Linked DNA regions of Macaca mulatta. Each later gene encodes a partner of the first gene's protein in a complex. Links are inferred from orthologs where the notes say so. Each region holds a gene or a part of one and is shown in the gene's direction. Other genes may lie near its edges.

The links.
Region 2: the proteins of SFN (region 1) and WWTR1 are in contact, whole or in part, in a crystal structure (PDB 8R0Z), measured with the Homo sapiens proteins. The link is inferred for Macaca mulatta from reciprocal best matches to the Homo sapiens genes SFN and WWTR1. Residues at the interface, in NP_006133.1 of Homo sapiens: Cys38, Asn42, Ser45, Val46, Lys49, Arg56, Arg60, Phe119, Lys122, Arg129, Tyr130, Pro167, Ile168, Gly171, Leu174, Asn175, Val178, Tyr181, Glu182, Asp215, Leu218, Ile219, Leu222, Asp225, Asn226, Leu229, Trp230; in NP_001161750.1 of Homo sapiens: Arg86, Ser87, His88, Ser89, Ser90, Pro91, Ala92, Ser93, Leu94, Gln95.
Region 3: the proteins of SFN (region 1) and MEFV are in contact, whole or in part, in a crystal structure (PDB 8C28), measured with the Homo sapiens proteins. The link is inferred for Macaca mulatta from reciprocal best matches to the Homo sapiens genes SFN and MEFV. Residues at the interface, in NP_006133.1 of Homo sapiens: Glu14, Cys38, Asn42, Leu43, Ser45, Val46, Lys49, Arg56, Arg60, Glu115, Phe119, Lys122, Arg129, Tyr130, Pro167, Ile168, Gly171, Leu174, Asn175, Val178, Tyr181, Glu182, Asp215, Ile219, Leu222, Asn226, Leu229, Trp230; in NP_000234.1 of Homo sapiens: Arg205, Asn206, Ala207, Ser208, Ser209, Ala210, Gly211, Arg212, Leu213, Gln214, Gly215.
Region 4: the proteins of SFN (region 1) and FOXO1 are in contact, whole or in part, in a crystal structure (PDB 8A62), measured with the Homo sapiens proteins. The link is inferred for Macaca mulatta from reciprocal best matches to the Homo sapiens genes SFN and FOXO1. Residues at the interface, in NP_006133.1 of Homo sapiens: Tyr19, Ser45, Lys49, Asn50, Arg56, Arg60, Lys122, Asp126, Arg129, Tyr130, Glu133, Gly171, Leu174, Asn175, Val178, Tyr181, Glu182, Leu218, Ile219, Leu222, Asp225, Asn226, Leu229, Trp230; in NP_002006.2 of Homo sapiens: Pro20, Arg21, Ser22, Cys23, Thr24, Trp25, Pro26, Leu27, Pro28, Arg29.
Region 5: the proteins of SFN (region 1) and AMOT are in contact, whole or in part, in a crystal structure (PDB 7NPB), measured with the Homo sapiens proteins. The link is inferred for Macaca mulatta from reciprocal best matches to the Homo sapiens genes SFN and AMOT. Residues at the interface, in NP_006133.1 of Homo sapiens: Val46, Lys49, Asn50, Arg56, Arg60, Lys122, Arg129, Tyr130, Gly171, Leu174, Asn175, Val178, Tyr181, Glu182, Asp215, Leu222, Asp225, Asn226, Leu229, Trp230; in NP_001106962.1 of Homo sapiens: Val171, Arg172, Ser173, Leu174, Ser175, Glu176, Arg177, Leu178, Met179.
Region 6: the proteins of SFN (region 1) and SHROOM3 are in contact, whole or in part, in a crystal structure (PDB 6FCP), measured with the Homo sapiens proteins. The link is inferred for Macaca mulatta from reciprocal best matches to the Homo sapiens genes SFN and SHROOM3. Residues at the interface, in NP_006133.1 of Homo sapiens: Ser45, Val46, Lys49, Asn50, Arg56, Lys122, Arg129, Tyr130, Gly171, Leu174, Asn175, Val178, Tyr181, Glu182, Leu222, Asp225, Asn226, Leu229, Trp230; in NP_065910.3 of Homo sapiens: Arg1239, Ser1240, Arg1241, Ser1242, Ser1243, Ala1245, Thr1246.
Region 7: the proteins of SFN (region 1) and SNAI1 are in contact, whole or in part, in a crystal structure (PDB 4QLI), measured with the Homo sapiens proteins. The link is inferred for Macaca mulatta from reciprocal best matches to the Homo sapiens genes SFN and SNAI1. Residues at the interface, in NP_006133.1 of Homo sapiens: Ser45, Lys49, Asn50, Arg56, Lys122, Asp126, Arg129, Tyr130, Leu174, Val178, Glu182, Ile219, Leu222, Asp225, Asn226, Leu229, Trp230; in NP_005976.2 of Homo sapiens: Ser175, His176, Thr177, Leu178, Pro179, Cys180.

The regions. Positions count from the first base shown.
Region 1 is NC_133406.1:214,122,291-214,124,832, reverse strand, and holds SFN (14-3-3 protein sigma), read left to right. Parts: upstream 1-1,205; 5' UTR 1,206-1,270; coding exon 1,271-2,017; 3' UTR 2,018-2,042; downstream 2,043-2,542. UniProt on the Homo sapiens protein: Adapter protein implicated in the regulation of a large spectrum of both general and specialized signaling pathways. Binds to a large number of partners, usually by recognition of a phosphoserine or phosphothreonine motif.
Region 2 is NC_133407.1:52,529,438-52,532,937, reverse strand, and holds part of WWTR1 (WW domain-containing transcription regulator protein 1), read left to right. Parts: intron 1-2,439; coding exon 2,440-2,573; intron 2,574-3,500. UniProt on the Homo sapiens protein: Transcriptional coactivator which acts as a downstream regulatory target in the Hippo signaling pathway that plays a pivotal role in organ size control and tumor suppression by restricting proliferation and promoting apoptosis.
Region 3 is NC_133425.1:4,480,246-4,482,837, reverse strand, and holds part of MEFV (pyrin), read left to right. Parts: intron 1-1,609; exon of another isoform or gene 1,610-1,984; coding exon 1,985-2,100; exon of another isoform or gene 2,101-2,289; coding exon 2,290-2,322; coding exon of another isoform or gene 2,323-2,334; exon of another isoform or gene 2,335-2,397; intron 2,398-2,592. UniProt on the Homo sapiens protein: Involved in the regulation of innate immunity and the inflammatory response in response to IFNG/IFN-gamma.
Region 4 is NC_133422.1:20,018,911-20,021,609, reverse strand, and holds part of FOXO1 (forkhead box protein O1), read left to right. Parts: coding exon 1-1,078; 3' UTR 1,079-1,092; intron 1,093-1,565; 3' UTR 1,566-2,699. UniProt on the Homo sapiens protein: Transcription factor that is the main target of insulin signaling and regulates metabolic homeostasis in response to oxidative stress.
Region 5 is NC_133426.1:119,487,164-119,490,663, reverse strand, and holds part of AMOT (angiomotin), read left to right. Parts: coding exon 1-688; intron 689-1,016; coding exon 1,017-1,114; 3' UTR 1,115-3,500.
Region 6 is NC_133410.1:57,067,237-57,070,736, reverse strand, and holds part of SHROOM3 (protein Shroom3), read left to right. Parts: coding exon 1-1,269; intron 1,270-3,500. UniProt on the Homo sapiens protein: Controls cell shape changes in the neuroepithelium during neural tube closure. Induces apical constriction in epithelial cells by promoting the apical accumulation of F-actin and myosin II, and probably by bundling stress fibers.
Region 7 is NC_133415.1:102,822,937-102,827,100, forward strand, and holds the start of SNAI1 (zinc finger protein SNAI1), read left to right. Parts: upstream 1-1,364; 5' UTR 1,365-1,837; coding exon 1,838-1,919; intron 1,920-2,610; coding exon 2,611-3,138; intron 3,139-4,164. UniProt on the Homo sapiens protein: Involved in induction of the epithelial to mesenchymal transition (EMT), formation and maintenance of embryonic mesoderm, growth arrest, survival and cell migration.

The DNA.
Region 1 (2,542 bases):
AAAACAGAATGGTATGTGTCACTGCCACCTCCCTTTCTCAGTCCTCTCTCTCCCCAGGTTGCTAGCGTCCCCCCTGGGGGATCAAACTGGACTGCTTCCCAGCCTCAGACAGAGAGCAGTCTGAGTCAGGCAGGAAAGTGGGACAGCCGGGGAGCTGGACCCCACCCTCTGTGAACCCCACTGGTACCTGATGGCATGTGGCTTGGAGAGGGCAAGTGACCTGGTGTGGAGGGCCAGAGGGTAAATCCTCAAACAAGTGGCAACAGGCCACCAACTTGAAAGGGAAAATTGTGTAGTGATGGGAAATGTGTACAACAAACCTACTGGGTGACTAATTACAAAGGCTGGGCTGGAGCGTCAGAGGCTGCTTGTTAAACACTTCATTAAGTGGCACTCTGAAAGCTGCCACCTGCGCATTCTGGGAGCTCAGAGGGGACCCTGAGGGGGAGTGAGGCCTGAGGGATGGAACCATCTTCAGGTAGATTGAGAAAGAGCCTGGATCTCACTTCCAAACACAGCCTGGAGCTCATAGGTCAGAGACTTCAACGGGAGAAAAGCTAAAGGAAGCAGGGTGCAGAAAGGAGTTTCAGGGAAGTGGTGGCTATGTGACTTTGAGCAAATCTCACCCCTCTCTGAGACTTAGTGTTCCCATCTCTGTGGTCCTGTGTGTGTCACAGAGACACAGTGGGGATTAAATTCGATGGTGAATATGAAAGTGCTTGGGAAACTCTATGGCCCTACCTAAACATGAGTTATCCTCACCTGAATCAAGGGGAGAAGTTACCTGGCAGGATTGGGAACCCCATCCTCCTGAACCTTTATGGGCTCTGTCGAGGCAGAAGCAGCCAGGGGCTAAAGCCGCCCTTAGCCTCTGTAAGGGCGCTGTGAAGGAGGATCTGATTTGAGAAGCCAGGCAGTTTCCTGATGTGAGCAGCCATATGATGCCAGCCCCGAACAAGAGGGGGCAGCCTAGAGCCTGGAAAGGTGCCTGTGCAGGTGGGGCCCACGCCCAGATTTCTTCTGCTGACTGTTCTGATGACTCACCCCCACATCCCAGCCTTTTTACCTTTACTGCAGAGCCGGAAAGGGTGTGGGGAGGAGAGGAGACGGAGGCAGGTCTTGGGCCCTGGTCCCGCCCCCTGCTCCTCCCCACCCTTCTCTGGGCCTGGCCACCCAGCCAAAAGGCAGGCCAAGAGCAGGAGAGGCACAGAGTCCGGCATTGGTCCCAGGCAGCAGTTAGCCCGCCGCCCGCCTGTGTGTCCCCAGAGCCATGGAGAGAGCCAGTCTGATCCAGAAGGCCAAGCTGGCAGAGCAGGCCGAACGTTATGAGGACATGGCAGCCTTCATGAAGGGCGCCGTGGAGAAAGGTGAGGAGCTCTCCTGCGAAGAGCGAAACCTGCTCTCAGTAGCCTACAAGAATGTGGTGGGCGGCCAGAGGGCTGCCTGGAGGGTCCTGTCCAGTATTGAGCAGAAAAGCAACGAGGAGGGCTCGGAGGAGAAGGGCCCCGAGGTGCGTGAGTACCGGGAGAAGGTGGAGACTGAGCTCCGGGGCGTGTGCGACACCGTGCTGGGCCTGCTGGACAGCCATCTCATCAAGGAGGCTGGGGACGCGGAGAGCAGGGTCTTCTACCTGAAGATGAAGGGCGACTACTACCGCTACTTGGCCGAGGTGGCCACTGGTGACGACAAGAAGCGCATCATCGACTCAGCCCGGTCAGCCTACCAGGAGGCCATGGACATCAGCAAGAAGGAGATGCCGCCCACCAATCCCATCCGCCTGGGCCTGGCCCTGAACTTTTCCGTCTTCCACTACGAGATCGCCAACAGCCCCGAGGAGGCCATCTCGCTGGCCAAGACCACTTTCGATGAGGCCATGGCTGATCTGCACACCCTCAGCGAGGACTCCTACAAAGACAGCACCCTCATCATGCAGCTGCTGCGAGACAACCTGACGCTGTGGACGGCCGACAACGCCGGGGAAGAGGGGGGCGAGGCTCCCCAGGAGCCCCAGAGCTGAGTGTTGCCCACCACCGCCCCACCCTGCCCTGCCCCCTTCAGTCCCCCACCCTGCCGAGAGGACTAATATGGGGTGGGAGGCCCCACCCTTCTCCCCCAGGCGCTGTTCTTACTCCAAACGGCTCCGTGGAGAGGGACTGGCAGAGCTGAGGCCACCTGGGGCTGGGGATCCCACTCTTCTTGCAGCTGTTGAGCGCACCTAACCACTGGTCATGACCCCAGCACTGCTCTCCGCACCGCTTCCTCCCGACCCCAGGACCAGGCTACTTCTCCCCTCCCTCTTGCCTCACTCCTGCCCCTGCTGCCTCTGGTCGTAGGAATTGAGGAATGTCCCGCCTTGTGGCTGAGAACTGGACAGTGGCAGGGGCTGGAGATGGGTGTGTGTGTGTGCGCGCGCGCGCGCCAGTGCAAGACCGACATTGAAGGAAAGCATGTCTGCTGGGTGTGACCATGTTTCCTCTCAATAAAGTTCCCCTGTGACACTCCTCCTGTCTCTCTCCAGTTCTTGGCGATGGGTTGGGAGTGG
Region 2 (3,500 bases), on another chromosome or scaffold:
CCACTGCCCAGCCTCAACTTTTATTCTTAGGACTTATGTTGATAAAGTTTTGTCAGATAGAAAGGAATGCAGCCATCTCATCAACTTTTATATTAAAAGTGTCTTTGTTTAGAGGTAAACTCCCACATTTATTCAGAATGATTGAAAAATGGAATATTCTAGTAAAGTTCGTGTTTTTGGATAATGAGGTTATGAGTCAAAAGATTCTTGCATTTATGGTTAATAAAGTACTAGAAATTTACCATTGACAAGGTACATTTTTTCAAACTGTGGCTCAGGGTATGTGAGTGTGCTTGAGGGATGGGGACTGGTGGGGTCCAGGCTTTTTATGCCAGATTCAATCCTTGTTGCTCCTTCTGAGGCTTTCAGGAAAACTTTGGTTGGATAATAAGGTTTCTAATGCACCCTGCCTGCCATGTTAAAAACAACTATCAGAAAGTCATTTGATTTTTCTAGGTTTATTCAGAAGGCACTTCCAAGATTTAGATGGTGAATGAAAATAACTTCTTACCAAAAAAAATCTCCATTTTTTGGTTTGCTTTTTATAGATTCCTGAATAAAATTTGTTAGTTAAGTATTCGATTATTTGCAATTTAGATGAACAGAAGTGAGCCAGAGACCCTTTCCAGCTAGAAAATTTATTTCAGTATAAGTTAACAATACAGTTGTTTTTTTTTTAATCAATCAGTTCTCTCATGGTTTGTAACAGCACAACGAACTCTAGTAACTGAAAATTTTTATAGCCAATGACTTCACTAGGACTTGTCTAGACAGCAGTTACCCTCTAAAGTCACAGCATGTTAGGGCTGGAAGAGATCTAACAAAGATACTGTAATTTAGAAGTCCTAAATGTTCTGTTTGCCATTGTAGCCATGGTTTTACGGTTTGAGGGACAGTGAGACCAATGACTTCAGCATGGAAAGTGGGAAACTGATAGGCATAAATATGGGGAAAGGCCTAACCTTAGTTTGGGATGCAAATGTAAACATATAAAAGTATTCTCTGGAAACAGCAGCAAATTTGAAAGGAATTTGATGTCTGGTTGTTTGTCAAAAAGGAGAGACTCCTGGAGATCATACCTAGAGAAAGTAATTGCAGTCAGTAGATTTCTAGCATTTTGGATGGACTCTCCTTGGCAATGTAATGCTAGCTTTTATAAAATAATGTTTATATTATTTGTTTTTGCTAATGAAATCCATATGCTGTGAAACAGTTACTTGTCTGTGGGATTTGGATTGGATCTACATGTTTCCCCAATCTTCAGCATTTTAGTCAACGAAGTAGTCAAATGGATTGACTTTTTTTTTTTCCTTTTTTTTGAGACAGCGTCTCACTCTGTCATCCAGGCTAGAGTGCAGTGGCGTGATCTCTGCTCACTTTAGTCTCAACCTCCCAGGCACGAGGCTCCTCCTACCTCAGGCTCCCAAGTAACACCAGTCCCAGCTAATTTTTGTGTTTTTTGTAGAGACAAGGTTTCACCATGTTGCCCAGGCTGGTCTCGAACTTGTGGGCTCCAGTGATCCGCCCACCTCGACCTCCCAAAGTGCTGGGATTATGGACGTGAGCCACCGCCCCTGGCCACTGATTAGCTTTTCAAAGTAAACTTTCAACTCATTGTTTTGCTTTCCTGTCTGTAAACATAAAACTTCCAGATGCAATTTAATGTAGAGCCTGTACTCTGTAATTCCACAGTTTTACTGGCCTGTAAGTGGCAAAGACCAGAATGTACCTTATAGTCCAGAGGAATCGGATTGCTTTGATTGATGTAGATTTGGTTTGAGAACCTGAGATAGAAATAGCCTTGTCTCTGAGAAGTGTTTTGAGAGGACTTTCTATGATTTGGGTGTTTAAATAATTGCATGGGTGGGATGATTGCAACAGTTAAGTGCCCTTAGGTCAAATAATAGCTGAGCTTCCCATTAACTTTGTGAATGTGAAGTGACTTATGTCTGTAAGACTTTCTTCAGAGAAAGAATACCAGTGGTTACCTGGTGATTTTGACTTGCTGGGAGTAAATACACAGTGCTTTGTATTTGGTGAAAAGTTTTTGTTTTTTTTGAGACGGAATCTCGCTCTGTCACCCAGGCTGGAGCGCAGTGGTGTGATCTCGGCTCATTGCAAGTTCCGCCTCCCAGGTTCACGCCATTCTCCTGCCTCAGCCTCCCGAGTAGTTGGGACTACAGGCGCCCGCCACCTCGCCTGGCTAGTTTTTTGTATTTTTTTAGTAGAGACGGGGTTTCACCGTGTTGGCCAGAATGGTCTCGATCTCCTGACCTCGTGATCTGCCCGTCTCGGCCTCCCAAAGTGCTAGGATTACAGGCTTGAGCCACTGCGCCCGGCCTGGTGAAAAGTTTTGATGTGACATACACTCTGCTCCATGCCTTGTGACAATGAGTGAATGACTCTTGCTTCCCACTCTGACTGTTGTTACTTCTGTAGGAAGCTGCCCTCTGTCGACAGCTCCCCATGGAAGCTGAGACTCTTGCTCCAGTTCAGGCTGCTGTCAACCCACCCACGATGACCCCAGACATGAGATCCATCACTAATAATAGCTCAGATCCTTTCCTCAATGGGTAAGTTAATATTTGGGGGCCACTTATTTTTGTTCTCTTTATTATGTGATCTAGACTATGATATGATCTTTGTTTACATTGGGAAGAGGTGGAGAACTTGAGGGTTGAGGGTGAGGATAAAGGGAGGAAGTGGGAGGAGCTGGCAGAAAATAGAAAGGCAGGGGAAGTCATCTACCTTTTAAAAAAATTTCCAAATTAAAAAATTAGTGATAGGACATAGAGTAAACCCCTAGTCAAGAATTTGAAAATGGGCATGAATTTATATATTTTTTAAACATGATAGTGTTGTTTAGTACTTATACTTGGAAGAATCTTGTGGTTTTATGTAACCAACAGGGGATAAAAGCATGCCATATGGCAAGTTGAGAACAGAACAATTAAGAAATGATGTTCAGCCAGGCGCGGTGGCTTATGCCTGTAATCCCAGCACTTTGGGAGGCCGAGGCAGGCGGATCACCTGAGGTCGGGAGTTCGAGACCAGTCTGACCAACATGGAGAAACCCCGTCTCTATTGAAAATACAAAATTAGCAGGGCGTGGTGGTGCATGCCTGCAATCCCAGCTACTCAGGAGGCTGAGGCAGGAGAATTGCTTGAACCCGGGAGGCGGAGGTTGTGGTGAGCCGAGATTGCACCATTGCACTCCAGCCTGGGCAACAAGAGTGAAACTCTGTCTCAAAAAAAAAAAAAAAAAAAAAAAAAAAAGATGATGTTCAGGGTGAAATGTGAATAAGATCTATAGTTTAGTAATTAGTATTCTACAATGTCAGGTTTCTGGTTTTGGTAATTGCACTATGGCTATGTAAGATGTTATCACTGGGGAAGCTGGTGAAGGGTACATGGGAACTCTCTGTACTCTTGCTGTGTCTTCTATGTGAGTTTAAAATAATTTCACAATTTAAAAAGTAATTAAAACAAAGGAGCAAAAA
Region 3 (2,592 bases), on another chromosome or scaffold:
TTGCTTAGGGAGAAGGGGATCTGGCCGGCAGGGAGGCAAAGCCTCTGGATTTGCTTAGGGAGAAGGGGATCTGGCCGGCAGGGAGCCAAAGCCTCCGGATTTGCTTAGGGAGAAGGGGATCTGGCCGGCAGGGAGCCAAAGCCTCCGGATTTGCTTAGGGAGAAGGGGATCTGGCCGGCAGGGAGCCAAAGCCTCCGGATTTGCTTAGGGAGAAGGGGATCTGGCCGGCAGGGAGGCAAAGCCTCTGGATTTGCTTAGGGAGAAGGGGATCTGGCCGGCAGGGAGGCTGACCAGGTGTGGAGCTGCAGACTGGGAAGGGTGAATTCAGCCCATCCTAAGATGGAGGCTCCCTAAGAAACTTGCTGAGTGCATTGTGTCCCGTGCAATTCACCTTATGAAAACTGCCCCTTCAGGCCTACTGGTGGCCTTGGGAAGCTTGTTTGGAGTGAAGCTGGGTTGAGCCCAGCAGGAAGGGGAGGGAAGGGACAGGAAGAGGCTAAGCCTTAAAATCACCTGGGAGCTTTACAAAATCCCAGTGTCCTTTTGTGTCTGGCTTCTTCACTTAGCATAATGTCTTCAGGCTTCATCCATGTTGTAACGTGTATCAGAATTTATTTTCTTTTTATGGCTGAATAGTAGTCAATTGTGTGTTCATACTACATTTCGTTTATCCATTCATGGACATTGGGATTTTTTCTAACTTTTGGTTTGTGAATAATGTTGCTATGAACATGGGCATACAAATATCTATTTGAGACCCTGCTTTCAGTTATTTTGGGTACATACCCAGAAGTGGAACGGCGGGACCATGTGGTCATTCTGTGTTTAATTTTTTTTGAGGAACCACCATCCTGATTCCCACAGGGGCTGCACTGCTTCCCATTCCCACCAGCAGTTCACAAGGGCTCCAGTTTCTCCACATCTTTGCCATCACTTATTTTCTTGTTTCTCTCTCTTTCTCTCTTTTTCTTTTTTTTGGAGACAGAGTCTTGCTCCGTCATCCAGGTTGGAGTGCAGTGGCGTCATCTTTGGCTCACTACAACCTCTGCCTCCCAGGTTCAAGGGGTTCATCCACCTCAGCCTCCCTAGTAGCTGGGACTACAGGAGCGTGCCACCATGCCCAGCTAATTTTTTTGGTAGAGACAGGGTTTCACCATGTCAGCCAGGCTGTTCTCAAACTCCTGACCTCAAGTGATCCACCCACCTTGGCCTCCCAAAGCGCTGGGATTACAGATGTGAGCCACTGCGCCCAGCCATTTCTCTCTCTCTCTCTCTTTTCTTCCTGAGACAAGGTCTCATTCCCATCACTCAAGCTGGAGAGCAGTGGCACAGTCACGGCTCACTGCAGGCTCAACTCCTGGGCTCAGGTGATTCTCCTACCTCAGCCTCCTGAGTAGCTGGGACTACAGGCATGTGCTACCATTTCCAGCTACTTTTTTGTATTTTTAATAGAGACAGGGTTTTGCCATGTTGCCCAGGCTGGACTTGAACTCCTGGGCTCAAGCAATCCAGCTGCCTTGGCCTCCTGAAGTGCTAGGATTACAGGCATGAGCCACCATACCTGGCCTATTTTCTCCTGTTGTTGCTGTTTTTATAATAGCCATCCTAATGAATGTGAAGGGGTATTTTATTGTTTTTTTTTTTCATTAACTACCATTTTTATTTCAATAGAAAGAAATAAAGGGATGTATAATCAATTTGACATAGATAATTCTGGTAGATAATATCAATGTCATTTTAAGTCCATTCTGAAAACTCCTTGTGGTTTTGATATCCATGTCTTTAAAGCGCCCCAGTACATGACAATCTGTGGCCAAAGTTGAGGACCAGCATTTAGACCTCTGAATCCAGAGAAGACTTTTCTTTGTGTAGCTCAGGCTGGGCTAGGTGTGCCCTGTGGAGAATGTAGATCATTTCCAGCTCACGGGTACTTGGGCCATCCCCTCGTTCCAGCCCTCTCTGGCCAACAGTCTTTTGTCTCTAGGGCTAAGACAGTGCCTCTCCCTGAACGGTGGACTCCTCCTCAAGAGATGAAACAGAAGATCCAACTGCTCCACCAGAAGTTAGAGTTTGTGGAGAAGAACGCAAAGTACTTCTTAGGTAGATGGGCTTGGGAGAGGATTGGAGGTGCATGCTTGCTTCCGCCCTAAGATTCACATAGCCCAGAGCCCCTCACTTCCCTCCTCCTCCACCCCTGGTCTTGCTGACCTGCCTTCGACCTCTCTTCCATCTGTCCCTAGCTGAGGGACCTAACTCCAGCTTCTCTCTGTTCCCTTTCCCACATTTTAGAAACCCTGCGTTCAGAAATGGAAATGTTCAATGGTGAGTCCAGCGGTAATAGTGTGTGCTGGCCTGGGATTGTTGCAGTGTTTCCTTGTGCTGTTGACTTGAGGGGCCCTATTTAGAAGACAAAAAAACCCAAAAACACCTGGAGCAAAGGCAGGAGAAAGGTCATGGCAGGCCCCCCAGGCTCTGTGCATGACTGCATGACTCACTGGCTGAGCTGACTCATTAGACCACAGTTCCCAACATGACCTGGGTTCCTGGGAGGAACGGGATTATACCCAACATAGCATGCAGGGCCCTAAGCAG
Region 4 (2,699 bases), on another chromosome or scaffold:
AAGCCCTGGCTCTCATAGCAACGACGACTTTGATAACTGGAGTACATTTCGCCCTCGAACTAGCTCAAATGCTAGTACTATTAGTGGGAGACTCTCACCCATTATGACCGAACAGGATGATCTTGGAGAAGGGGATGTGCATTCTATGGTGTACCCGCCATCTGCCGCAAAGATGGCCTCTACTTTACCCAGTCTGTCTGAGATAAGCAATCCCGAAAACATGGAAAATCTTTTGGATAATCTCAACCTTCTCTCATCACCAACATCATTAACTGTTTCGACCCAGTCCTCACCTGGCACCATGATGCAGCAGACACCATGCTACTCGTTTGCGCCACCAAACACCAGTTTGAATTCACCCAGCCCAAACTACCAAAAATATACATATGGCCAATCCAGCATGAACCCTTTACCCCAGATGCCTATGCAAACACTTCAGGACAATAAGTCAAGTTACGGAGGGATGAGTCAGTATAACTGTGCACCTGGACTCTTGAAGGAGTTGCTGACTTCTGACTCTCCTCCCCACAATGACATTATGACACCAGTTGATCCTGGGGTAGCTCAACCCAACAGCCGGGTTCTGGGCCAGAACGTCATGATGGGCCCTAATTCGGTCATGTCAACCTATGGCAGCCAGGCATCTCATAACAAAATGATGAATCCCAGCTCCCATACCCACCCTGGACACGCTCAGCAGACATCTGCAGTTAACGGGCGTGCCCTGTCCCACACGGTAAGCACCATGCCCCACACCTCGGGAATGAACCGCCTGACCCAAGTGAAGACACCTGTGCAAGTGCCTCTGCCCCACCCCATGCAGATGAGTGCCCTGGCGGGCTACTCCTCCGTGAGCAGCTGCAATGGCTATGGCAGAATGGGCCTTCTCCACCAGGAGAAGCTCCCAAGTGACTTGGATGGCATGTTCATTGAGCGCTTAGACTGTGACATGGAATCCATCATTCGGAATGACCTCATGGATGGAGATACATTGGATTTTAACTTTGACAATGTGTTGCCCAACCAAAGCTTCCCGCACAGTGTCAAGACGACGACACATAGCTGGGTGTCAGGCTGAGGATTAGTGAGCAGGTAAGTTCACCCCAATATCAAAAGACCTTTTGAAAAATAGAACTTAAAAGGGAGGAACACAGTAACTTGCCATGGTTAGCACATCTTTGATGTCAACTGACTGCCCCTTGCAGAGAGGGATCTTTTATCATTCATTCTCTGTCCTTTTTGCAGCTTATCAATTTTCCTTCCTAGCTTCAACAGAAGGAAGCTTCCTTTAACTGCTTTAAAGATTTCTTTTTGACAGTTTGATGGCTGCATCTTTTTAGTAGCTCTTCAATAAATGAATACATTTGATATAAATCAAATGCTGAAGGGTTTTTTGTAAAGTAGAATTTTCCCCATTGAATGATTTTAGAGCTGTTTGAGAAAGCTCTAGCTTTTTGCCCCTAAGTATGTCTGCCACTCTGAACATGTTAAGTTGAATTGATTTTAATTTGGCTATATTTTCATTTTGTGTGTATGTGTGTGTGTGTGTATGTGTTTTTTCCTAGGTTACACTTAAAAGTACTTCAGATTGTCTGACAGCAGGAACTGAGAGAAGCAGTCCAAAGATGTCCTTCACCAACTCCCTTTTAGTTTTCTTGGTTTAAAAAACAAAACAAAACAAAACAAAAAAAACGGAAAAAAAAAAAACCCCGAAAAAAACCTTCCTTTTTTCCTTTCGTCAGACTTGGCAGCAAAGACATTTTTCCTGTACAGGATGTTTGCCCAATGTGTGCAGGTTATGTGCTGCTGTAGATAAGGACCGTGCCATTGGAAATTTCATTACAATGAAGTGCCAAACTCACTACACCATATAATTGCAGAAAAGATTTTCAGATCCTGGTGTGCTTTCACGTTTTGTATATAAGCAGTAGATACAGATTGTATTTGTGTGTGTTTTTGTTTTTGTTTTTTTTTTTTTAAATATCCATTTGGTCCAAGGAAAGTTTATACTCTTTTTGTAATACTGTGATGGGTCTCATGTCTTGATAAGTTAAACTTTGGTTTGTACTACCTGTTTTCTGCGGAACTGACGGATCACAAAGAACTGAATCTCCATTCTGCACCTCCATTGAACAGCTTTGGACCTGTTCATGTTGCCACAGAATTCACATGAGAACCAAGTAGCCTGTTATCAATCTGCTAAATTAATGGACTTGTTAAACTTTTGGAAAAAAAGGTTAAATGCCAGCTTTGTACAGGTCTTTTCTATTTTTTTTTTTTTTTGTTTATTTTGTTATTTGCAAATTTGTACAAACATTCAAATGGTTCTAATTTCCAGATAAATGATTTTTGACGTTATTGGTGGGACTTAAGAACATTTTTGGAATAGATATTGAACTGTAATAATGTTTTCTTAAAACTAGAGTCTACTTTGTTACATAGTCGGCTTGTAAATTTTGTGGAACCACAGGTATTTGGGGCAGCATTCATAATTTTCATTTTGTATTCTAACTGGATTAGTACTAATTTTATACGTGCTTAACTGGTTTGTACACTTTGGGATGCTACTTAGTGATGTTTCTGACTAATCTTAAATCATTGTAATTAGTACTTGCATACTCAACGTTTCAGGCCCTATTTGGGCAGGAAAGTGATGTATAGTTATGGACACTTTGCGTTTCATATTTAGGATAACTTAA
Region 5 (3,500 bases), on another chromosome or scaffold:
CCTGTGCCCCCCTCGACTCCCCTGCCCTCGGCTCACTCCAAGACAGGCAGCCGAGACTGCAGTACCCAAACTGAACGTGGGACGGAATCGAACAAAACTGCAACTGTTGCTCCCATCTCTGTTGCTGCTCCAGTTGCTGCCGCCGCCACTGCTGCCGCCATCACCGCCACTGCTGCCACTATCACCACCACCATGGTAGCTGCTACTCCAGTTGCTGTTGCTGCTGCTCCAGCTGCTGCTGCTGCTGTTGCTGCTGCCCCGTCTCCAGCCACCGCTGCTGCTATTGCTGCTGCTGTTTCTCCAGCTGCTGCTGGTCAGATTCCAGCTGCTGCCTCTGTTGCCTCAGCTGCTGCCGTTGCTCCTCCTCCTCCTCCTCCTCCTCCTCCTCCTGCTGCTGCTGCTGCTGCTGCTGCTGCTGCTGCTGCTGCTGCTGCTGTTCAGGTTGCTCCAGCTGCTCCGGCTCCGGTTCCAGCTCCGGCTCTGGTTCCAGTTCCGGCTTCAGCAGCGGCTCAGGCTTCTGCTCCTGCTCAGACTCAGGCACCAACTTCAGCTACGGCTGCAGCTCCAACTCCAGCTCCAACTCCAACTCCAGCTGTGGCTCAGGCTGAGGTTCCTGCAAGTCCAGCTACCGGTCCTGGACCACATCGTTTGTCTATACCAAGTTTGACCTGCAATCCAGACAAAGCAGGTAATTATTCCCTTTAGCAGGTAACTTTTGGTTTAGTTCTGCTCTCAAATACAGATTTATTTCTTGTTGCCTGATGTCTGGGCAGAGTTATCCTTTGGACTGAATTTTTCATGTTCTAAGGGAGAGAGAAGAGAGTCTGTAAATGACTTCTCATCCACCAAGATGGGAACAGGCATGAGTGGAGGCCATTATCTTAGCAGAAGTAAATGAGGGAGGTGACAAGTCTCACTTTGCCATTGGCTTCATGAGGGCTCTGATGGTGTCTAGTTCTAGAAATACAGGTTTTTTCTTCATCCCTAAGTGTTTTCTAACCCTTATTTCCATTTAGATGGGCCTGTGTTCCACTCCAATACTCTGGAAAGAAAAACTCCCATTCAGATCCTGGGACAAGAGCCTGATGCAGAGATGGTGGAATATCTCATCTAAACGGCCAAATCAAGAGCTGCAGATTCTCAGCAAAAATGCTTTTAATCATTTCCCCCTTTTATTGGTTCTTGTTTTGGGGGTGAGGACAAGGGTTGGGGGGAGGGGATGTTTTTTAACAGGACTTTTTGTTGGAACAATGTACTACTTGAGTAATACCATGTGAACCACCAGTCTATTCTGGTATGCTTAGGGAGTACCTCTAAAGACAGATTAATCCGAATGTGCTCTAAAGCTTATTGTTTGAATTTATACAAATACTGGGACTGTTAACGGGTGGGCATACATCAGTGTTTTCAATGTGCTTAAATTTGTTTAAAATTTCCATATTCTAGATCATTTTTAATTGAAGAGCACAGTATGTGTGGAAGACAGTGTGTAACACGTAGTTTGGAAGTGGGAAGCTGGAGAGAATTGAGTGTGTGCTGTCTTGTATAGTTACTATCCTGTGCAGCAGCCGGAGAAAGCTCTCACCTCAGGCTTATAAAAGGGAATAGTTTCAGGAGCTATGTAAGCTGGAAAAAAGGTAGGGAGTTTTGGGATGCAGAAGGGTGCTGGAGCTAATTTTTTCTTCCAATTTCCCAGCTACCCTGCCCCAGGGAATTGTGTTTGTCTTCATTTCAGTGGTGCTTTGGAAACGGATTCTTTTGGTTCCCTCCTGGAGGTTCATACATTCATATATATGCTGTGGAATAATTTATGCATTTGGATAATTAATATATTGCTTTCAGATGCTGGGAGAGTACATTAACTGAGTGATGCACAACTTCCTCTCTCTTAGGGAGTTAGACCATCAGAGGCCTTGATGGAGACTTGCGTGAGGTGCTATATGCAGACTTTCATGGTCTGTGTGTAGCCATGAACATAGCTTGCTTGCATTTATTAAGACCAATCAGCTTAGTGTTTATTTCTTCTACAGCACAGATTCACTGGCTGGGGCTCCAGTCTCAAATTGCCAATCATTTGCAAAGTGAGGAAGGATCTTTGTTGACAGGTTGAATGCTTTGAATTTCTGGTGACTACTTTGAAATAACTTGTTTTGTGTGTCAAATTCTAAGCATATGTCTTAAAAGGCATTTTTGACTATCATCTCCAAGGGAATAACATGAGAAACCCAAAGTACTATGCTGCAGTCGGGGGAGAGGTGGATTGCAGCAGTATCCTCAACTACCTCTTCTCACTGTCAGTGACTCCATCTTGGAATACCTTTGGGAAGCAGCGGGAAATGTGCATGTGGGTAGAGATCAAAGGAGGCAATGGTTCCAAGCCTTGCCATAGGGCTGCCTCCAAGAACACAGAAGGATGCCAGTTGCCACAGGACCCTGCCCTGTGTCACCTGTCTGCCCTTCATTAAGGTGACAAATCTGCAGATAGCATCATTAAGATCAGTTTTAAGGGGTATAGGGAGGGTGAGGGAAGGTGGGGGGGTGTTAGGTAAGGGTAGGGGGGGTAGAGGTTTTGGGATGTCTTAGTTAGAAACCAGATTAATAGAAGAGTAGGCCTGTTATATTACATCATGAGCCATAGCGGTGGGAGAGAACTTTAGCAATAGAGCCCTACCCCCTCATTTTAGTGATGAGGAATCTGAGAACTGGAGAGGTTCAGTGACTTTTTAAAAGTCACACAACACAGCTAACCATTATGCCAATCACCATGCTTATTTTGGGAAGCTCTTATCTTTTTTTAATTCCATTTTACGAAAAGACATCTTCATGGTCCAGGGAATATGTATCTTGTAAAATGTCCCTGGCTGGAGTAGCTTGTCCAGTCTTGACAAACTACTGAATTTCTGTCTTGCCTCTCCTTCAGTGCCTTTTAAAAGGTTTTCCCTTTTCTGATCTGCATTACAACATCGAGTCACATAAATGTCCCCCCTAAGAAACCAATCCCACTTCTTACTAGGAGATTGGGTATCTTAGATAATCTTTTGGGGTTCCTCTGTGAGTATAGGAATGATATCTTTCCTAATTACCTTCCAAAGGAATTATTCTGTGTGTGTGTGTGTGTGTGTGTGTGTGTGTGTGTGTGTGTGTGTGTAGAGAAAGAGAGAGACATAAAGGAAGGGTGATGTGATTTTCAGCTAGTCCTTTCACATTTTCAATAATGAGGTAATCATGTTACATACACATTAGTCCTCAGTTATAAAGTGAATCTCAGATAGAAATTAAAAATGCAGTTGTGTTAAGACTCTTTCATACTACCCTTTAGTCGTAAGGAGAAAAATAACCTCAAATAGTAGAAGCAGCAAGTAGCAAACTTCAGGAGAGCTACTTTCTATCCAAATAAATAATTTAAAAACACTTTTCACCTACTCCTTTCATGGTTATAACACATTGGCAGACTTTTTGCTGGCTCTGGGAACCATGATTTTAATCACATTCTGCAAGGT
Region 6 (3,500 bases), on another chromosome or scaffold:
TCTGAGTCAGCTGAACCCCTAGGCAACGGGGAGCAGCACTTCAAAAACGGGGAGCTGACGTTGGAAGAGGCTTCCCGGCAGCCCTGTGGTCAGCAGCTGAGCGGAGGAGCCTCGGACAGCGGCCGTGGCCCCCAGAGGCCGGATGCTCGGCTCCTCCGCAGCCAGAGCACCTTCCAGCTCTCCAGCGAGCCAGAGAGGGAGCCCGAGTGGCGGGACAGGCCCGGATCGCCCGAGTCGCCCCTGCTGGATGCCCCCTTCAGTCGCGCCTACCGGAACAGCATCAAGGATGCTCAGTCTCGTGTCTTGGGGGCCACTTCCTTTCGACGCCGAGACCTGGAGCTGGGGGCGCCTGTGGCATCGAAGTCCTGGCGGCCGCGGCCTTCCTCGGCCCACGTGGGGCTGCGGAGCCCCGAGGCGCCGGCTTCCGCCTCCCCGCACACGCCCCGGGAGCGGCACAGTGTGACCCCTGCGGAGGGCGACCTGGCCAGGCCCATGCCCGCTGCCGCCCGGAGAGGGGCTCGCCGGCGCCTGACTCCCGAGCAGAAGAAGCGCTCCTACTCCGAGCCCGAGAAGATGAACGAGGTGGGGGTCGCGGAGGAGGCCGAACCAACACCCCTGGGCCCGCAGAGGAATGGGATGCGTTTCCCGGAGAGCAACGTGGCCGACCGGCGCCGCCTCTTCGAGCGCGATGGCAAGGCCTGCTCCACGCTCAGCCTGTCGGGGCCCGAGCTGAAGCAGTTCCAGCAGAGCGCCCTGGCCGACTACATCCAGCGCAAGACCGGCAAGAGGCCTACCTCCGCCGCCGGCTGCAGCCTCCAGGAGCCCGGGCCACTGCGCGAGCGCGCCCAGAGTGCCTACCTCCAGCCTGGCCCCGCGGCGCTGGAACCCTCCGGCCTCACCTCAGCCTCCAGCTTGAGCTCGCTGCGGGAGCCCAGCCTGCAGCCCCGCAGGGAGGCCACACTCCTGCCGGCCACAGTTGCAGAAACCCCGCAGGCTCCCCGAGATCGCAGCAGCTCCTTTGCCGGTGGCCGCCGCCTCTGGGAACGGCGACGCGGGGACCCACAGGTCCCAAGGGAGCTGCTCAGTGGAGCAAACGGTGGAACAAGGGGCACCCAGAGAGTGGATGAGACCCACAGGGAGCCATCCTCCTGGGGGGCCAGGGCTGGGAAGTCCATGTCAGCTGAGGACCTGCTGGAACGCTCAGACGTCCTCGCCGGCCCTGTCCACGTGAGGTCCAGGTCATCTCCCGCCACTGCGGACAAGCACCAGGTATGTGCAACCAGCAAGTCCTGGCCTCGGACTGTCCCTTCCTCCCTAGAAGCTTTAATGGGGCTCCCCAACCCCCCACACTCTCACTCCCTCTCCCAGTTCAGTTTTCCTTGTGAAAACAGAAAAGTAGCATTTGTTTTCATGAGTTGAGTTTCTCAAGTGTCCCTGCCTGGTTTCCTTATAAAGATATAGGTATCTAGATTACCTATATTGTTATACAGATTATCTATCTATCTCCTTTTTAGGAAGTCACCACCTCTCAATGCAAAAATGCAAGGTTAGGAAAAATTAGGGATTATCTTTTTTGTTTTTTGTTTTTTAATGGATTAGAGTGTGGATCTGAGTATTTAAAACGTTTTAGCTTTGCACCCTTTCTGTTTCTATTGGACTTTGCATCTACAAAATAGCTAGAGTGATTGACATTGATAGTCATTGGTTATTGAATTCCTGGCCCTCAGCTAAGTGTGTGGCAGGTCCTGAGCTAAGTGTAATCTACATTTATTACTTCATTTAACCCTCACGATAATCCTGTGCAGTAGAGTATATTATACATGTCAGACCCCTGTGTCTGAGACTCCCACCTGAGCTCTTTCTGTGCATTATCCTGGTGAGGAGAGAAAATAAAAACTCAAAATCACACATAAAAGGATTTTCTAATAAAGGCACCAAATGCTGCAAGGGTTATAAAGTACTTTCCCCTGAAAATTTTAAGCAATGCTAGGAATAGAAGCTGAGCATTCTGACTCCTAGGAGCCTATTAATTTCCCCAATTCTTAGCCTATCCTCAGGCTTCACTTCCACTGGAGATCAGTGGCCTGCCTCATGCTTCCCTTCCCACCAAAGAAAATAATAGGAATCACATACCTGTTAGCACAGGGAAGGAAGAACTCTGCTCCACTGCCTCCTCTCAGATTCTGCTGTTTTCCCTTTCAGAGAAGTCAGCCATTCAGCAAGCATCTGTAGAGCATGTGTTGTATGAAAAATGCTGTGTTACAGCATCAAAGGATACACAAAGGAAAAAAAAGGCTCATGCCTTTCTGGGGTTCACAATTAAGCAAAGAAGACGGCCTTATATATATAAATAATTCTAATATGACTAGTGAATGTTTTGGGAATGGTGATCAGTAATATGCTATGTTAAGGAAAGTGATTAATTCTGAGGTGATCTGAAAGTACTTCTCCTGAAGGTAAATGGGATTTGGGGCCAGGATGTAAAAGATGGGCATGATGACAAGAGATTAGGCGAGAGGGAATACATTGATCGGAAGAAACCAGTTGAGACAAAGAAAGATTCAGCAGTTACTGGCTGAGAAGTTTGCTGCACTCTAGCACACACATACAAACACCCTTCTGAGAGAAAATACTGTCCCTTCCCAGATGTTTTCTGTTTAGAATTGTACAGAAATATATTCTCCCAGTATAAACCCCCCACAAATGTAGAGGCAGCTTCCCATAAGCCTTCAGTAGCTTTTTCCTCCTTCAGAATGAACACAGCTAATTCTGACTCCCTATCCTACCAATAACACACATTTAAAATCCATATATGTAACACGCAATTTCATCTAGCTTGATAGATTTTAGCAACTTAACTGCATAGCAGTCTAAACACCCTCCTTTCTCTCCCCGTGTTTTAAAGAAAATAGAAATGCTTAGGTGAAAACCAAATCATTATTGTTTATTCCCCATTAGATATTGTTATTTTGTCTTAGAGGTTGGTTGGATGGCTATGAATGTTATTTTATCTTTTCCCCCAAATATTTCTTAAGCCTGGTTGATTAAGAAATAAAGCTAAAACATGGGTGTTAAGGGAAGTGAAGAGATTCCTCCAAATCCCAATTAAATACTTTGTATTATTTGGGAAACTTTTTAGAAAGACAAGTGAATACAGAATAGTACTTGGGTACCCTTTTCATAAAGGGAATGCCATATTTAGATGTTATTTAATTTGGGGAATATGCAGGCAGAGGGGGAAATATTTCCAAATGAAATACTTCTTTTGTACTGCTTTGCTCCAACAAATTCTGAAATTTCTGAACAATGCGTCGTCTCTTATATTGTCACTGTGCCAGGACTGCATTCTTGAACTTCCTCCTGGTCTCCTGCACAGCAGCCAGACCTACGCTGACTGGAGAAGCATCTCACGGCAAGGTGGTCTGCTCCTTGCATCCTCTTCGGCATCTGCCTTATTTGTAGTTATGATGAGTTAAAAATAAAACAAAGTTATTCTCACC
Region 7 (4,164 bases), on another chromosome or scaffold:
CCACGGTGGGAAAGGTCTGGGATGTTGGAGGAACAGAAGGAAGGGTGGGGGAGGGATCCTTGTTCATGGGGGAGGGAGAGAGGCTCAAGCCAAGGTCAGCCGGGGTCAGAGCAGCGGGGCCGAGTTGGCCGAGGAAAGGACTTTGGCTTTTACTCTGAGACAGGCGCATGGGAGGGTTTGAGCAGAGGAGGGGGTGCTCTGGCCTCACTCTGGCTTCCAGCAGAGGATCCTGATTGGAGCTAAATTGACACGGGAGGGAGAGTATTCCGCCTAATAACTGCTTCCTGCCTATGTCCTCCACCCTACTCCCCACTCTCCAGCTAGAAACAGGGGAAGACGATTTTGTTCACGGCTGTTACATCCGGCACCAAGTGACCAAAACAGACAGTAGTTCTGCCCTTCATGTTGCTGGTGGTGGTGTGGGGTGCTTATAGGTTTTTCTAGTCTTCCTTCACAGGTGGAAACAAGAACGGTGAGACCTGTGAGGTTTATTTCAGCGCTACTCCCGGGCCTGGTATGCCTCCCAGGGAAGCTGGGGTGGGGGTGCAGCTGCCCCTCACCTGGGCCCACCCCACATGCATTCAGTCAGGGCCCCTACAGAGCAACGTTAGAGCCTTTAGACACAGGATCGAGGATCTTCACAGGGGTGAGGAGACACGCCCGGCCCATCCCTTCTTTCTCCCGCCGGCCTACAAGGATCTTTTTCTACGAAACTCTAACCAGGTCCCTCGTCAGCTGAAAATCCTTCGGTGGCTCCCCAGTGCCTTTGAGGCAAAGTCCAACCTCCTACGAGGCCCTGGGGCACAGCACATCTGACCCTTCCGGGCCTGCCCACCCCACGCCATCCCTGAGAGCTGCTCTCTAGGAGTTACTCTGAAGCAGTTGCCACTTCTTCCCTCGGGCCTTTTCCCTTGATAATTCTTCACTTCCTCTGGGAAGTCACCCCGACCCCCTGTCAGGTGACCCGCCTCTTAACGGTCGCTGCGTCCCGTCTCTCCCCCGCCAAAGCACACTTCCCTTTGCATTGTAATTGTCTGTTTACTTCGTCTGTCTCCCCCACTGGACCGGGAGCTACCCTTCGGGAGAGGCCTTGAATGTCCTGTCCGGGGCTGTGCCCTGCCCCAGGTACAGCTGGGCCCTCCGCAAACACTGGCTAAGGGAAGGAACGGGCGCTCTTCGCTAGCTGGGCCAGGCTGCTTTGCAAAACGGCCGTAGCATTTCACGCCGCCAGGAGCCACGTGCGGTGTCCGTTTCCTCGCTTCCTCCCCAGCAATGTGCATTTCCCTCGTCAATGCCACGCTCTCCAGGCGCCAGCCGGGCGGAGGAAATTTCCGCCCCCTCCTAAGCCCGAGGCGGGGGCGGGCGTCGGAAGGTCAGGTGTCCCGGCCCGCGCGCAGCGCCAGGGGGCGTCAGAAGCGCTCCGACCACGGGGCGCTGAGCAGGTGGGCGCGCGGCGTTCTGGCGGGGTCCCACCTCGCAGGGGCCTCGCTTCGCTCGACGTCCCGCCCCGGACAGTCCGAGCACCACGGACGACCCGCGCTGCGCCTGCGAACTCCGCCTCGGAGGAGCCCCCGCCCGGGCTCCCAGCGCCACGCGGCGCGAGCCCGGCCAGCCCCCGGCGCACCTGCTCGGGGAGTGGCCTTCGGCGGAGACGGGCCTCCGATTGGCGCGGAGGTGACAAAGGGGCGTGGCAGATGAGGCCCCTCCCCTCCCACCCCCTTGGAGTATTTAAGGGAGTTGGCGGCGCGGCTGCTCTCATTGCGCCGCGGTCCGGCCTTGTGAGTGGTACGTTTGCGCTGCTCCTGCGCGACTCGGCGACCCCAGTGCCTCGGCCACCATGCCGCGCTCTTTCCTCGTCAGAAAGCCCTCCGACCCCAATCGGAAGCCTAACTACAGCGAGCTGCAGGACTCTAATCCAGGTGTGTTGGAGGGGTGGTGGGCTCCAGGAGGTTTGGGGGAGACAGGCGAAGGCTGCGTGGGGGCCACCTGAGGGAGGCGGCCTGTCTGAGCCAGGATCGAGTCACAGGGTGTTTTGTGGAGCATTGCGGGCTCGGGCTCGGGCTCGGGAGACCGGGCAGGTGGGTCCCCAGTCCTGGGGATCGGTCTGGGTGGTTGGGGGAGTGCTGTGTAGAGAGCAGGGGTTTTGTGCTTGGGTGGCCTGTGTAGCCGGCGAGAGGCGGAGGAGCTCCGCGAGAGTGGGAGAGGAGGCCTGTGTCAGGAAGGCCCTCTGGACGCTGCTGGGGAGAGTCCGGAGTCCAGAGGGTTGAGGGGAGGGGTGGGGAGACGAGATGTGTGTGAGGAGGGGGATTGGGGCAGGGTGGTGGCTCCAGGGCTGGGGTGATGGGGTTCTGGCCTCAGGCTGGGGACTTGGGACTTAGGAGAGGGAGATCTGGAAATGACCCCCTTCAACTGGGGGTCCTACCTGTGAGAGACTCAGATTGGGTGACCTGGGCCAGGAGGGCAGGAACCTGGTCTGTCCTGTGGATCATTTTTTTTATCTAATTATGTGTTGAGAATCAGCCCTACCCAGCCCCTGGCCAGCGGTGGGTTCATGTTTGTTGATTGAGTGAATGATTTAATTAACGCCTGACTCTGCTTTTTCTCTCTCAGAGTTTACCTTCCAGCAGCCCTACGACCAGGCCCACCTGCTGGCAGCCATCCCACCTCCAGAGATCCTCAATCCCACCGCCTCGCTGCCAATGCTCATCTGGGACTCTGTCCTGGCGCCCCAAGCCCAGCCAATTGCCTGGGCCTCCCTTCGGCCCCAGGAGAGTCCCAGGGCGGCAGAGCTGACCTCCCTGTCGGACGAGGACAGTGGGAAAGGCTCCCAGCCTCCCAGCCCACCCTCACCGGCTACTTCGTCCTTCTCCTCTACTTCAGCCTCTTCCTTGGAGGCTGAGGCCTATGCTGCCTTCCCAGGCTTGGGCCAAGTGCCCAAGCAGCTGGCCCAGCTCTCTGAGGCCAAGGATCTCCAGTCTCGAAAGGCCTTCAACTGCAAATACTGCAACAAGGAATACCTCAGCCTGGGTGCCCTCAAGATGCACATCCGAAGCCACACGCTGCCCTGCGTCTGCGGAACCTGCGGGAAGGCCTTCTCCAGGCCCTGGCTGCTACAAGGCCATGTCCGGACCCACACTGGTAAGTGCCCCTCCAGGCGCCCCCACCGTTGCTTTCTGTGGCAGCTTTGTGAATTGGGACTTGCTGTTCTCATTCGCAAAGTTGTGGACACTGAGGCCCCGAGTCTCCTAACTTCCAGCTCAAGTTCAGGGGCCTGCTCTCTGGAAATGTTTGGCAGAAACGTTCCTTCATCAGCTAAGCAGATGAGCAAAGCAGACACCTTCCCAATCCCTGCAGCCTGTTTCTCAGCCAAATGGGCTGGAGCTGGATATCGGAAAAGTGCAACCAACACCTTGCTCTGGGGGCCACAGGTGTGAAGGGGCCCACCCAGCCCCACCCTCTCCCGGTCCGCCCCCTCCCTAGCCAGACAGGATGTTGTCAGACCCCCCACCTGGCTCTGAATCCTTTGAGAACTTTCTCAAAGCTTAGGCTGATGTTTCACTTCTGTGAGCCTCATTTTCTCTATCTTTCAGATGGGCATGAGAACAGCTTGTGGGGTTTCTGTACGGGCTAAATGCAGGAATGCATATGGGAATCACCTGGCAAAGTGCCGGGTACCTGCTAAACTGTCACAAAAATGGTTCCTTGGCATTTGCTCTGCTTCCCTGCTGTGTGACTTTGGGCAAGCAACTTAACCTCTCTGAGACTCGGGAGAATTATGATGGCATATGTTTTAGAGAGTGGCTGTAGGCCGGGCGCGGTGGCTCAAGCCTGTAATCCCAGCACTTTGGGAGGCCGAGACGGGCGGATCACAAGGTCAGGAGATCGAGACCAGCCTGGCTAACATGGTGAAACCCCGTCTCTACTAAAAAAAATACAAAAAACTAGCCGGGTGAGGTGGCAGGCGCCTGTAGTCCCAGCTACTCGGGAGGCTGAGGCAGGAGAATGGCGTAGACCCGGGAGGCGGAGCTGAGATGCGGCCACTGCACTCCAGCCTGGGCGACAGAGTGAGACTCCGTCTCAAAAAAAAAAAAAAAAAAAAAAAGAGAGTGGCTGTAAAGGTGGCTAATCACTTTATAGTAATTTATTATACCCGAATAGTTCTCA